Linked DNA regions of Ovis aries. The protein of the gene in region 1 interacts with the protein of each later gene in a biochemical or structural test. Links are inferred from orthologs where the notes say so. Each region holds a gene or a part of one and is shown in the gene's direction. Other genes may lie near its edges.

Evidence for each region. The genes of interacting proteins can lie anywhere in the genome.
Region 2: the proteins of KIT (region 1) and GRB7 form a complex in vitro, tested with the Homo sapiens proteins (3 studies listed by BioGRID and IntAct, with this or other methods). The link is inferred for Ovis aries from reciprocal best matches to the Homo sapiens genes KIT and GRB7.
Region 3: the proteins of KIT (region 1) and LYN form a complex in vitro, tested with the Homo sapiens proteins (2 studies listed by BioGRID and IntAct, with this or other methods). The link is inferred for Ovis aries from reciprocal best matches to the Homo sapiens genes KIT and LYN.

The regions. Positions count from the first base shown.
Region 1 is NC_056059.1:70,927,829-70,932,530, forward strand, and holds part of KIT (mast/stem cell growth factor receptor Kit), read left to right. Parts: intron 1-3,604; coding exon 3,605-3,719; intron 3,720-4,702. UniProt on the Homo sapiens protein: Tyrosine-protein kinase that acts as a cell-surface receptor for the cytokine KITLG/SCF and plays an essential role in the regulation of cell survival and proliferation, hematopoiesis, stem cell maintenance, gametogenesis, mast cell development, migration and function, and in melanogenesis.
Region 2 is NC_056064.1:39,850,419-39,854,254, forward strand, and holds part of GRB7 (growth factor receptor-bound protein 7), read left to right. Parts: exon of another isoform or gene 1-1,497; intron 1,498-1,784; 5' UTR 1,785-1,789; coding exon 1,790-1,941; intron 1,942-2,057; coding exon 2,058-2,211; intron 2,212-2,392; coding exon 2,393-2,549; intron 2,550-2,643; coding exon 2,644-2,771; intron 2,772-2,855; coding exon 2,856-2,933; intron 2,934-3,182; coding exon 3,183-3,320; intron 3,321-3,658; coding exon 3,659-3,769; intron 3,770-3,836. UniProt on the Homo sapiens protein: Adapter protein that interacts with the cytoplasmic domain of numerous receptor kinases and modulates down-stream signaling. Promotes activation of down-stream protein kinases, including STAT3, AKT1, MAPK1 and/or MAPK3. Promotes activation of HRAS.
Region 3 is NC_056062.1:36,228,102-36,232,803, forward strand, and holds part of LYN (tyrosine-protein kinase Lyn), read left to right. Parts: intron 1-1,344; coding exon 1,345-1,476; intron 1,477-4,674; coding exon 4,675-4,702. UniProt on the Homo sapiens protein: Non-receptor tyrosine-protein kinase that transmits signals from cell surface receptors and plays an important role in the regulation of innate and adaptive immune responses, hematopoiesis, responses to growth factors and cytokines, integrin signaling, but also responses to DNA damage and genotoxic agents.

The DNA.
Region 1 (4,702 bases):
AATTTAAGGAGGTGCTCACTCTTGGTGTCTACCTGAATCTGCAGGACCTGGAGGATGAGAGCCTTCTTAAATTCCTCACCTTAGCTGTTTTTCTTGCCACATCCTTGTCCTGGCCCTGATGGGGTCCCTTGAAGATTTTCTAAAATAACCCCATTCTGGGTCAGATTCTCAAATTACTTAATCTTGGGGGAGATGAGGTGGGCCAGGAATGTGCTTTTTAACCTCATCTCTCTGTGCTTCAAATGCACCTTGAAGTTTGAGGGGCCCTCTGAGCTTGGTTGGCCAGCCTACAAGCCAACAGGACAAAAGCTGCTTGGCTTGCCTCAGGTTATAGTTGGGATAGTAGCTTAAAAATGTGCCTGATTAACCAGCACACAGGAACAAGTAGGCCAGCCAGACCACACTGTTTGCCAGCCCTGGCCATTGTATAGCTGCTACCAGGTGTCGTGCTGGAAGGCTTGGATCTTAGGGCACTTGTAACCAAAGCTAAATGTAATTGATTATGTAATTTTCAACTGTTCCAGTGTTTTATAAGTTTATTATTAGCTGTGTTCATTGTAAAAAAAAATTAGAAAATAAGTCAAAAGAATGAAACAGATATTGATGTATAACTCTACTACCCAGATACAACAACTATAAATATAATGCACCCTTTCAGCCCCCTCTTTTTTTTTCCTACTGAGTAATAGTTAATTCCACTAAAAATCCAGGAACAATGAATGACAAGAGGAAGGTTGTTATGAGGAAATCTGTCTTATGAACTTGATTCCCATTTGAATTCTGTCCAGTTGGATTCTATCCAGTTATCTTTGCTATCTGTGTGTGGACCTTCTCTCATCGTTAATCTCAGTATGGAAGAAAAAATCCACATGGCCAGGTTTATGTGCCGATTTCTTATCTCGTGGCCCACTATTGCAAAAATGATGTAACAGGAAAGTCACCATAGGCTGATATTCCAGGTCCCTTCTTGTGACACTGAATTCCTTTGGAATTTGAAGGACTTGTTTCTTTGGGAGGACTTAATAATTAACAGCTCTTACTGTGTGTCTGCCACAGGTCAGACTCTGCTAGAAGTCAGAAGTACAGTCCGTAAGACATGGTCCTTGCCCTTGAGAACAGTCGGATGGAGGCAGACCAGGATATTATAGAAGTGCGTCAGGTGCTCTAAAGTGCTTCGGGAGTAGGGAAGCGAGACCAACCAACTTGGCTTTGGAGAGTTGAGGATGGCTAGGAAAAGGAGATGACACTTGAATTCAGTCCAGAGAGACCTGCCGTATGGCGCCTGCCGTCTTCAGCAAATAGCATTCTCCTCAAGTTCCACTATTTTCTGTGTTATGTCCTACTTTTCAGCCTGGTCACACAGTTGCCCATGATAATTAAATGAAACTTGCCAGATGGACGCTTTTGCAAGACGATGGCTTGTCTTCTTGCTCTATTTGTGAAAGCTGGCGTTGGATCCAAACTCTCAAGGATGCCCCTACCTTGAGATTGCTTTTGGAGTGTTGCTCTTTTGTGTGTATTAGCCAAATGGCCTGCCCATCAGCAGGGCCAGGTTGAATGACAGGTGGGTGTGCCATGCATGCAGACACTTTGATCCCTGCCAAGCCATTTTGCCTGCAAGGAGATGAGGTGCTGAGAGGTTGTTCTACAAAGATGTCATTTATCAGCATTACCTTCCTTCGAAGAAATTAGTTTCTGACCTGTTGGCCTTTTCCTCTGACCAAATATATTTATTTTTCCTATCAGTTGCAATGTAATCAATGTCAAATTCCCAGTTCTTTGGGTTAAAACACATACATGTTATCATGCTGTGTTAAGCAGTTTCTCTTCAATATCTAATATCTTTATATATTGAAAAGAATATGTAGAGTGACCAATACAGTTAACTTAATTGGTACCAAACTTGATTAACCTAGGAGGGTGGGTACTCTAAGGAGAAAAAATAATAAATGAGTAGTAATAAAGTAGTAATTAATACTTAAAATTTTTTTGAAAATTTATTTACTGGCTATTCTGGGTCTTAAGTCAAGGCATGTGGGATCTTCAGTTGCAGCATGTGGGATCTAGATCCCTGACCAAAGATCGAACCCAGGCCCCCTGCACTGGGACATAGGCTCTTAGTCACTGAAGCACCAGGGAAGTCCCATTAATTAATGCTTTTACTGTTTGATTTCTGTGAATCATTCTTGATTCTTTGTCAAGAATCATTTCACTTCATTGTCACAACATCACTATGAAGAATTCCTGTTGTTACTGTTGTTATTCCCATTGGATACCCGGAGACTTGGTGGACAGCAGAGAGCCACCAAAAGCCAGAGCTTGGGTACAGTTCTGTCCACCACACACAGGGCCACCCACAGCTCTGTGCACAGGCTTGGGGGCGGCACCCGCGATGCTGTGCCAGGGATGCAGGATGAACTCATCACTGTCCCTGCCGTCAGATGCTTCCAGTATAGTTTACTCATTCTTAGAGGGTTCACATCCTTCAAGTGTATTACCAGTAGAACAGCTGAATGTAAGTTCTTTTCCCGTTCACTAATCTCAAGAATTTGCAGGGTACCTTTGATTGAATATCAGTTGATTATTATAGTTACACAGAAATGTCAAATTAGGGCATTCCTGCTGATACAGTTTACTTTTTCAGTGATTGTACTCAGGTTTAGACATATGTATGAGTAAAACTCTTGGGCTGGTTTCCTCTTCTAATTTTCTATTCCTATTTTGCATTTGAAATAAAAGTTTGGAGTTAAAAGCCCATATTGTGTTTTACTCTGATGTTTTGGCTTCTCTATAAAGGGGTGATTCAGCTGCTCGTCTGCACCATCCCTTCCACACCCCCATCAAAAAAAGGAGGAGGGAAATTTTCGAGAGGGGGCGGATCTTATCTCTTCCTGTAACTCCTCCTAATTTCTTCTAGTTCTTGCAATAACTTGAAATTCCAATGAGATTCTGATGGCAGGAATACTTTAATAAACAGTGTTGTTAAGTCACATCTGACTCTTTGCAACCTCATGCACACCAGGCTTCCCTGTCCCTCACTATCTCCTGGGGTTTGCCCAAGTTCATGTTCATTGAGTCGGTGATGCCATCCATTCCATCTCATTCTCTGCCACCCTCTTCTCCTCCTGCCCTCAATCTTTCCCAGCATCAGGGTATATTCGAATGAGTCAGCTTTTTGCCTCAGGTGGCCAAGAGTATTGGAGCTTCAGCATTTTCACCTGTTAGACAGTTGGGAACCCTAGAATCCTGATTAGAACCCATCTTCCAGGTTCCCCATCCCTGGGAACAGAAACCTTGCCAGGTGGTCCTGCAACCTCAGTCATCCCTGAGGCAGGGAGAGCTCAGAGACCCCCACATCCACAGGATGAACAGTCCACACGGGGGCTGGGTAGCTTTAACCAGGAAAGCCTTTTTCGTGGTCAGACCTTCACATCCTTCTACCTGTACCTTCCATTCACTGGTTCACATTCTCCCCTTTGAGCAACATGTTCCCTTAGGGTCCCTTTCATCCTTGAGAAAGTTTTTAAAAATTCAGAAATTGTGGAGGGAGCCTTGGTGAGGTTTTCTAGCAGTCTGACATATGGCCGCTTCTCTCTTCCTCCAGCAAAACCAGAAATTCTGACGCATGACAGGCTGGTGAATGGCATGCTACAGTGCGTGGCCGCAGGGTTCCCAGAGCCAACCATTGATTGGTACTTTTGTCCAGGAACCGAGCAGAGGTGAGATGATTATTTTGGATACCACTTAACACTCATCAGGAAGACTGCAATTCAGTTGAATTTCAAATATGTTTTCAAAGTATTATTATTTTTTTAAAACTTTGTTTTGATTAATTTTTTTCTATCCATGTGGCTTTTTAGAGAGCATAATTGCTATATTTTTCTTGGTAGACATTAATTTTGTTTGTTGAAACATGATTACTGAACGACATCTTTATTTTGGTGGTTATCTTTTGGATTTATCATGCAATTTCCAGCCTGCAGGTAGATAAAGCAATTTCCCAGGACAGAGTAATTAGATTTCCAATATATACACAGGAGGTAATATGTGTGGGAAATGTGACTGTAGTTATTATGAAAAAAATTACCTCAGAAGTTAATTGCCAAGTTACCAAAAAAGTAATGATCGCACAATTACCATACATATGGCGCTGGGGAGCTACATGTCTTAAAAAGGTTTTCTCCTTGATGAGGTGCCCAGCCCCTGAGCAGAGCGCATCTGGAATTGTACTTCCTCTCTTTCACAATCCACACTTAAGCCTTAAATTGTCCTTTCGCATTACCTGAAGATGAAAATGGGGTCAGCTTCACTGTTTTTATCCATCAAATGCTATTTTACGCTCAGGCTTTAAAGCCCAGTGTAACATCACAATTGAGTAGTTACAGTAATAATAGAAATTTCATTTTTCACAGAACAGCTCTTTTTTAAAAAAATAAACAGCAAGTTGGAGAGGTTATGTAAGACTTGTTCTCAGCTGGGTTTTAGTTGAGTGTTTTCTTTGGGGGAGAAGTAGGGAGGTTCAAGACCCCTGGAAAGCTTGCCCGCAGGGGACACAGCCCCAGTAGTTGTAGACATTCGCTGAGAAAATGTTTATGGAATGCCAACTATATGCTGGACATGGGTCTAGTGAACAAAACACACCTGAGTCCCATTAGTGAGTTTATATTCTAGTGAGGAGAGACGGATAGAAGATTGACAACTA
Region 2 (3,836 bases), on another chromosome or scaffold:
CTGGCTCTCCCTCCTGGCCTTCCCCTGTCTGCCTGTCTGTGTCTGTCTTCCTGTGTGTCTTGACTTTCCACTCCTGCTGCTGAGTATGCCTTTGATCAGAACGCCCAGGAGAGTATATGAATTAAAAGGACCCTCATTTCCCAGGGATGATAAGGATGAGACCCTCCCGGGCCAGCCGAGTCCTGGATGCTAAGGGTGGGCAGCAGCAGCAGAATGCAAGTCTGGGGGGCTCTGGACAGGAGAAGGAGCACTGCATGTTTCTTTGGGTTACTTTAGGTACCCCAGGGGCACCCCTGTGAGGTCAGCTCCACTCCAGATGGGCTTCTGAATCCCGGCCAGGCTTTTCTTCTCTCCCGCCTGGGTGAGGGGGCTCCTGGGCTGGGTGGTGGCTACCTGGGGCCCTTTGCAGGTTGCACCTGGACCTGGACTGGAGGTAGGCCAAAGGTGGGGAGGAGGAGATGATGTCAGAGGAGCCTCAGCCTCCCCCCCCCCCCCCACATCTTCCTCCTCCCCAATCCTGTTCTTGTGGTGGGGGGGGGAGTGGAGGGGATGGGTAGAGGCAGGGTTGTTTGTGTTTCTCCTAAGCCAGGAAGTAGTGGAGATGAGTCAAGGGTGAATGGAGAGCTCCAGGCAGTGTGTCCCGCCCCACCCTGACTCACCTGTCCCCCAAATCTCCTCTTGTCCTCACTTAAAGGTTGGGGACCTGTCTCATCCCAGGTGCGGGGAAGGGGGGCAGATCTTGGGTGCCTTAGGCAAGCTAACAGCGCTGGCCCAGTATTTGGAGCACAGGCAGGGGACAGAACTGTAGGTCCTCCCAGGTCCTCCCAGGTCTCAGCCCAGCCTAAAGGGTCTTGGTTCCTGGGAAGGAGGGGCTTGCGATGCCTCCACCTGCTGGTGGCCATCCTTGCCCCATCTCTTCTATCCTTGTCCTGGATGCCGTGTAGTGCCTGTGGGCAATAAAACATGGGTAAGACCCTGGCCTTGCCTGGGATGGCTGGGCATCTTCAGACCAGTGGGTGGATAAGACAGGTGCGGAGGCCCCAGCACAGGGCCCAGAGGGAGCCCTTCAGTCTGAATGTGGAAAATCCTGGAAGGCTTCTCAGAGGAGGTGGCTCTGGCGTTGAGGCCTCAAGAAAGTTGGGGAGGGGGAGGGGTCTAACGAAGGCACACAAGGTTTGGGGGCCGCTGGGGCGCAGGCCCCAGACTCGCCTTCTTCCCACTGCAACTGAGCTCGCCTCCTGTCCTCCTGGTTCCTGTCCTTCCCCACCTCCTTCTCTCCTTCTGTGCATCACTCAGCGCTTGAGCAGGCGTTGCCACAACAGGCTCTGGCAACAAAGCGCTGGGAAAACCTGGGGCAGAGCCCAGAGGAGTGAGTGCCCCACACTGGGAAGTGCAAGGGTGCCACTGAGCCCCGCTGTGTGGGGGTCAGGGAGTCCGTCGCTGCTGCCTGGCCTGTGGTGAGGGGACCCTCACCGCTCTTCCCCTGGGCAACCTGGGGTAAGGAAGAGCGCTGGACTGGGAGTCCAAACGCTGAGCTCTGCTCCCTGTCTCACCTGTGATGAGGCAGGAGTGCTTCTTTTTCAGGGCTCAGAGTCCCTTTTTGTAACAGGGACTCAACGCTGCCCTTCCCCAGAGGCTCCAGGGAACTCCAGTTAGTTGCGGATCGAGGAGGGGCCAGATAAACTCTGAGGGGCGCCTGACAGAAGGGTGAAGGAGGTCTGGGTCCCCTTGGCCCCTCTCCCCAGGACAAGGGCACAAGAGCAGCTGTTCCTCTTCTCCCTCAGAGGTCATGGAGCTGGGTCTGTCTCCACTTCATCTCAGCAGCTCCCCAGAAGACCTGTACCTGGCCTCTGGGACCCCTCCTGGGACTCCCCCACCTCTCAATGCCCCTCTGTCTGGGGAGGTGAAGAGGTCCCAGCCTCTGCCCATTCCAACCAGCAGGTAAAGTGGGGTGTCGGCTGACAGAGGGAGGCTGGGGGGAGCTGGGGGGAGCAGTCAGCACTAGGGTAATGCACAGAAGCTTACTAGCAACTCCTCCCCTCCATCTCCCGCCCCAGGAAACTTCTTCGAGAGGAGGAGCTACAGTCAACCTCTCTGCCCTCCATCCCCAACCCCTTCCCCGAGCTCTGCAGTCCTTCTTCACAGAGCCCCATTCTTGGGGGGTCCTCCAGTGCAAGGGGGCTGCTCCCTCGAGACACGAGCTGCCCCCATGTGAGTTTCCCTGGGAAAGAGAAGGCAGGGAGCATGGGGTGCTGGGGGATGGGGCAGATATAGTGCCGCCTTGGCTGGGTGGAGGGGACTTGGTCAAGGATCCCAGAGGGTAGAGCAGAGGGGGATGGGAGAGAACCACCCTTTGCCCTTGCCCGCCTCACCGGCCATTCCTCGGGTGCAGGTCATAAAGGTGTACAGCGAAGATGGGACCTGCCGCTCGGTGGAGGTGGCGGCAGGGGCCACGGCTCGCTATGTGTGCGAGATGCTGGTGCAGCGATCTCACTCCCTGAGTGACGAGAACTGGGGGCTGGTGGAGTGCCACCCCTACCTAGCACTGGGTAAGTTGGGCCGCAGGGGACTGCCTAGCCTGGGAGGCAGTGCTTCACACCTGACTGGCCTCCACTGACCCCTGCTTTTTGCCCTTGACCCCAGAGCGGGCCTTGGAGGATCATGAGTCAGTGGCAGAAGTGCAGGCTGCCTGGCCCATTGGTGGAGACAGCCGCATCGTCTTCCGGAAGAACTTTGCCAAATACGAGCTGTTCAAGAGCACTCCAGTGAGTGTGCGTAACAGGGGGGTCTGGGCCCGGACACCCCAACCCCCACCCGGATCCTCAGTCCTGACTCCTGGCTCCTTTTGCCCCCAGCACTCCCTCTTCCCAGAAAAGATGGTCTCTAGCTGTCTGGATGCACACACGGGCATGTCCCATGAGGACATCATCCAGGTGAGGGCCCACTCCCATTTCATGGCCTTGACTCCCCAGGATCGCCCAGGGCTTCTTAGCCCTGAAGTCCATGCCATCCCTCTATGGGGTGGAAAGCCCAGCACCGCCCTAAGCATCAGTTTCTTCCTCTGTTAAATGACAGTAAATGTAAACCCCTGCCACTGAGGCAGGTGCTAGGAAGGCCTCTGTGTGTGTGTGTGTGTGTGTGTGGCCACCTCGAGGCCTCTCACCCTGCTCTCCTATCCTCAGAACTTCCTGAATGCAGGCAGCTTCCCAGAGATCCAGGGCTTCCTGCAGCTCCGGGGGTCAGGGCGCAAGCTTTGGAAACGTTTTTTTTGCTTCCTGCGCCGCTCTGGCCTGTATTACTCCACCAAGGGCACTTCCAAGGTGAGGTCTTAAAGGTGACAGCCCCGGCCCCTCGGAGACCCCATCCCTGGTGCTTCTAGGAGCTGCCCCTTCTCTGCGGGAACTCCTAGACCTTTCACCCTCTAGGCCCTGAGACCCTCAGCTACCCCTCTTCCCCTCCCAGCTCACCTGCCCTGGAAGGTAGCAATGGGAGAGCCAGGTGAACTGAGTTCAAGTCCTGGCTCTGCTTCTATGTGCTGTGTGACCCGGGGCACTTCTCTGCTCCTCTCTGGGCCTGAACTGTCCCCAGCTGGTTGAGGGGGGATGCTGAGAGGGGGATAGGGTCTGCCTGTACAGTCTTGCTCACTCGTGCTGCACAGGATCCGAGGCACCTGCAGTACGTAGCAGATGTGAACGAGTCCAATGTGTATGTGGTGACCCAGGGCCGCAAGCTCTACGGGATGCCCACAGACTTTGGCTTCTGTATCAAGGTGAGGATCCTACCTGGGGCTTCTGAGCTGCTTCTGGGACCCCCAGACTCCTCTCCTTGCACCCTGC
Region 3 (4,702 bases), on another chromosome or scaffold:
TTAAAACATGAGAATTATCACACACACACAGAAGTAAACGTAACACTGCAAAAACACGCTCCTTTGTTTCCCCACGTTCCATATTATACGTGGAAACCCCAAGTCCCTGGCCTGCCGCTCCGAGGCCGGCCCGCCTGGCGCTGCACTGGCCTCTCCTGCTGGAGACTGTTCTCTGTTGTTTGTGATCTGAGGACTCCGACAGTCTCATTCCTGAAAGTTCAGTGGGTAGTGTTTGGGGGTTTTTTGCAGTGCTTTCTCTACTGAAAGAGCCAAGCACTTCCTTGACATGCCTAAGACTTGTTAAGGATTAATTAACGACATGTGTGTTATTTCTGGAAGGTGCCCACAGAATTCATAGCTGTGACAAACAGACTGAAAACATTGTTTTGATTTGCGAAACATCTCTTGCATTTGTCACGCTTAAGGTGGTTCTCCTGCCTCAAGTTTTGGTAACTCTTTAGTGGACTATAATGTATCTTTGGCCTTAATCACCTTCAGCAAAATGGCAGGTCAGGGAAAACAGTTTGAGAAGAAGTAGGTAAAAGGAAAAGACCTTAATGCTGAGAAAGATTGAGGGCAGGAGGAGAAGGGAGTGACAAAGGAGGAGATGGTGAGATAGCATCACCTATTCAATGGACATGAGTTTGAGCAAACTCTGGGAGGTAGTGAAGGACAGGGAAACCTGGTGTGCTGCGGTCTGTGGGGTCGCAGATAGCCAGACACAAGTGAGCAGCTGAACAACAGCACCAGCAGTCGACAGCAGCAGGTAGTGAGCTGTGCAGTGAGGCAGCTGCTGTTCTAAGTGCCTTTCATACGTTACCTCATTTATCTCTACAGTAACCCTATATGATAAGTAGGGTATTGTTTCCTCCTTCTATATGAGGAGAAAGGAGAGGCTCAGAAGCTTCTGAAGCCATATAGTAAGTGGGAGAGCCAGGATTCAGACCCAGGAGATCAATTTATTATATTGGTTTTGTAGAATTTGACAGGCCTCTGTGTGTTTGTGTGCTCACCAGCTTCAGTCATGTCTGACTCTTTGTGATCCCATGGACTGTAGCCTGCTAGGCTCCTCTTATCCATGGAATTTCCCAGGCAAGAATATTGGAGTGGGTTGCCGGTTCCTTCTCCAGGGGATCTTTTCGACCCAGGGATTGAACCTGGGTCTCCTGCATTGACATGCAGGTTCTTTATCACTGAGCCACCTGGGATATGCATGTGTTACCCATTCAAAATAAATCATCAAAACTTTCCCCCTCAAAGAAGGAAAGTGTGAGAGTCACACGCCTGTGACTTTTTCGTTTCAGCTCAGAGACCCAAGTAAAGCCCCTGTGTCTTCTCCCCTAGGTGCTAAGTTCCCCATTAAGTGGACAGCTCCAGAGGCAATCAACTTCGGATGTTTCACCATCAAGTCTGATGTGTGGTCCTTTGGGATTCTCCTGTACGAAATTGTCACCTATGGGAAAATTCCCTACCCAGGTACTGCTTACTTACCTATTTCCATTTGCGGGATATATATGAGAAAAAAGCCAGGTGGTATGAGACATAAAAAAGATGAACAAATATCCAGAGGAAAGACAAGGGTGTGAGAACTTTGTCTTTAGTGGAAGGTATTGTAAAATATGCTTAGACACTTCTCCGCCTTCGTGTCTGAGTGCATGTCTTTCGATCCACTAATGAATTCCACCACCAACAGCCTTGAATGTGCCTGGCGCGGTCACAGATATTGCTGAAGCAACATGGTTGGAGGACTAGACACGGGGCTCCTCCCAAGCCTCGCGCCGGATGGTGGAGGAAACGGACATAGAAATGATGCTGTATGATTCTTGCTTGGTCAGTTCTGAAACAGAGATTTGTATAATGTACTTTGGAGTCTCTGCCACTTCAAGAGACAACCACCTCTGTCTGCAAACAAATGATTCTTCACATCCTCAACTTACTGGCTGTGGGGACGTCATTCAGTATTTCCAGATGCCTAGCATCTTCCCAGCCAGATTCTGCCAGCCGTCCCTTTTCCAGAACATGGAAGCAGAGGGACTTTTCCCCAAAGCCTTCTCTTTCTTGTTAATGTTGGGCTTTTCACAAAATCAATGGATATGGCCAGTTTAAAAGTAAACCTTTAATGTTTAAATCATTCCCTCATTCAAAAATCTGAGGGTGCTAAGCATTCCCAAGGTGCTGGATGGAGCAGTCCCAGCTCCTCCCTTGAGAGCTAATGGTTGAGTATTAATTACAATCATTTGTAATAATCACTGATAATAAGGACCGTATGTAGGATGGGAAGTATGCTGTTGGGGGAGGGTGTGATGGTTTAGGGATTGGGGTGAGGGGGTGGGGTGCAGGTTCTAAAAGCGATCCAGTAGCAGCAGGGACTCAGTGCCTTGGCAGAGAGCCCCAGGGGCTGTCCGGGGCTGGGTGTCCCATGGGGGAAACAGCCAGAGCACCGGTCCCGAGCAGGGGCAGGAGGTGTGGGGATGACGTGGAGCGGATGTGAGCCTCAGAGGCTGCCCAGGGGCTTCACCTCTGACTTTGCAAGAGATGGGAGACTTTGGGGCGGAGCAGTGATGTGGCCTCTAGGCTCCTAGTCACCTTTGCTGCTGTTGGGCCTAGAGGGCTGGCGGGAGGGGGAAGCCTTTGGGTGGGGCCTACACAGTGGGCTGACGGTCCCGTGAAACCCTCCGGTGCCAGATTTCATATTCTGGTGGCTGCTCTGCTCTAGACACCGAAGTTAATGAATAAAACCACCGCAAAATGGGGACGGTATTTCTGAATCAGCCCAGATATCTATCTATAATCTGCAACCTATAGAGAAAGATTATATACTTTGCCTATATATGACACCTGATCAATAAACATACAACCTTACAAGTGTTGTGTGGTAGGTATTGCATGCTCCACAGTGATCTGTGGACAAGGCTCTGGGGCTCAGAGAAGGAGATTTTGGCCCAGAGCCGCATCACTGCCTCCTATGGAATCCTGGCCACCTTGCCCTCACCCACTGGACTTATCACCATCATTCATTTCCAGAACGTCTTCATCTTCCCAAATTGATACTGTACCCATTAGACCCTAACTCCCCGACCCACCTACCCACCTCCAGCCCCTGCTGTTGTTGTTGTTGCTTATTCATTCAGTCGTGTCCAACTCTTTGCGACCCCATGGACGGTAGCCCGCCAGGCTCCTCTGTCCGTGGGTACTCCAGGCAAAAATACCGGAGTGGGTTGCCATCCCCTTCTCCAGGGGATCTTCCCAACCAAGGCATCAAACCCAGGTCTCCTGTACTGCAGGCGGATTCTTTACCACTGAGCCACCAGGGAAGGCTGCTAAAATGGCTGAATTAGCATGTTTTATTATCCCATTTTAATGATGGAGAAAAATACTATTAAAATGACCTTTTTTTTCCCCTTAAAGCTCTTCTCAGTGTCAAAGACGGACAGTTCAGTGTCTGAGCTAACCTGAGACAAGTGATTAGAGTAAAAGCCATCCTCCACAGTCAGCAATCCTGCAGAGCCCGGCAGGAATAGTGGGTGCCCTGGGCTTCCAGGTGGAGCTAGTTATAAAGAATTCATCTGCCAGTGCAGGAGATGTTTAAGAGACACAGGATGGATCCCTAAGTCAGAAAGATCCCATGGAGAAGGAAATGGCAACCCACTCCAGTATTCTGGAGAATCCCATGGACAGAGGAGCCTGGTGGGCTACAGTCCATGGAGTCTCAAAGAGTCGGACACAACTGAAGTGACGTAGCACGCAGGCACGCTGGTTCCCTCCCCAGAGCCTGCCGAGCTCTGCCTCTTCTTGTCCTGAGGACAATTTGAGGAGTGGAAATGAAACAGTTGGTCTAGCTCACTTAAGGATCCTGACTTCTTTAAGTAAACTTGCAATGAAAAGCTGATTTTGAAAAAGTATTGGGAGATAATAGGTGAGAAAATGATGGTTTTTTTTTTTTTTAATTAATTACCATTAGAAGCTGGGGGAAAAAAATAGTGCAAAAGACAGTGAGATGAAATGTTAGAATTGGGCTTGTTTATTCACAAGATCTGTCAGGTCCAACATCCTTTTGTCGTTAAAGAGAACTCGCTCTGTCTCTGCTTATCACGTTCACTGGTTTTTACTTTGGCAGCTGAATGCTGCCTAGAGCCTCTTCGTACTGCCCTCCTTTATAGGATTACGTTGCTTACAGAAATGTCCTTAGCCCCTCTACTAGTTTTGAGAGCTGCTGTAACAAAATACCACAAACTGAATCGCTTATACAACAGAAATGTGTTTTCTCGCAGTTCTTCAGGGTAGGGGTCCAAGATCAAGGTGTTGACGGGATTGCTTTCTCCAAGGCTCATCCTCGGCCCTTGAGACAACATCTCCATCTGTCTTCTCTCTGGCATCCCCGTGTTCTAATCACCTCTTCTTATAAAGATACCAGTCAAATGGGGCTTAGGCCCACCCTAAAGGCTTGGTCACCTCTTTACAGGCCTTATGTCTAAACGCAGTTCCATTCTGAGGTCCTGGGGGCTAGGTCTTCAGTATAGGAATTTCCAGGAGAGCGGGGACTGTGGGAACACAGTTCAGCCCACAGCATCCTCCGACACTCGCTCCAACCAGGGATGAAGGAGGTGGGTACCACTGCATCACGTGACCCTCGGTCAGGCTTCTAAACAGTACCTGTGGGTTTTTCACCTCCAGGGAGAACTAACGCAGACGTGATGACCGC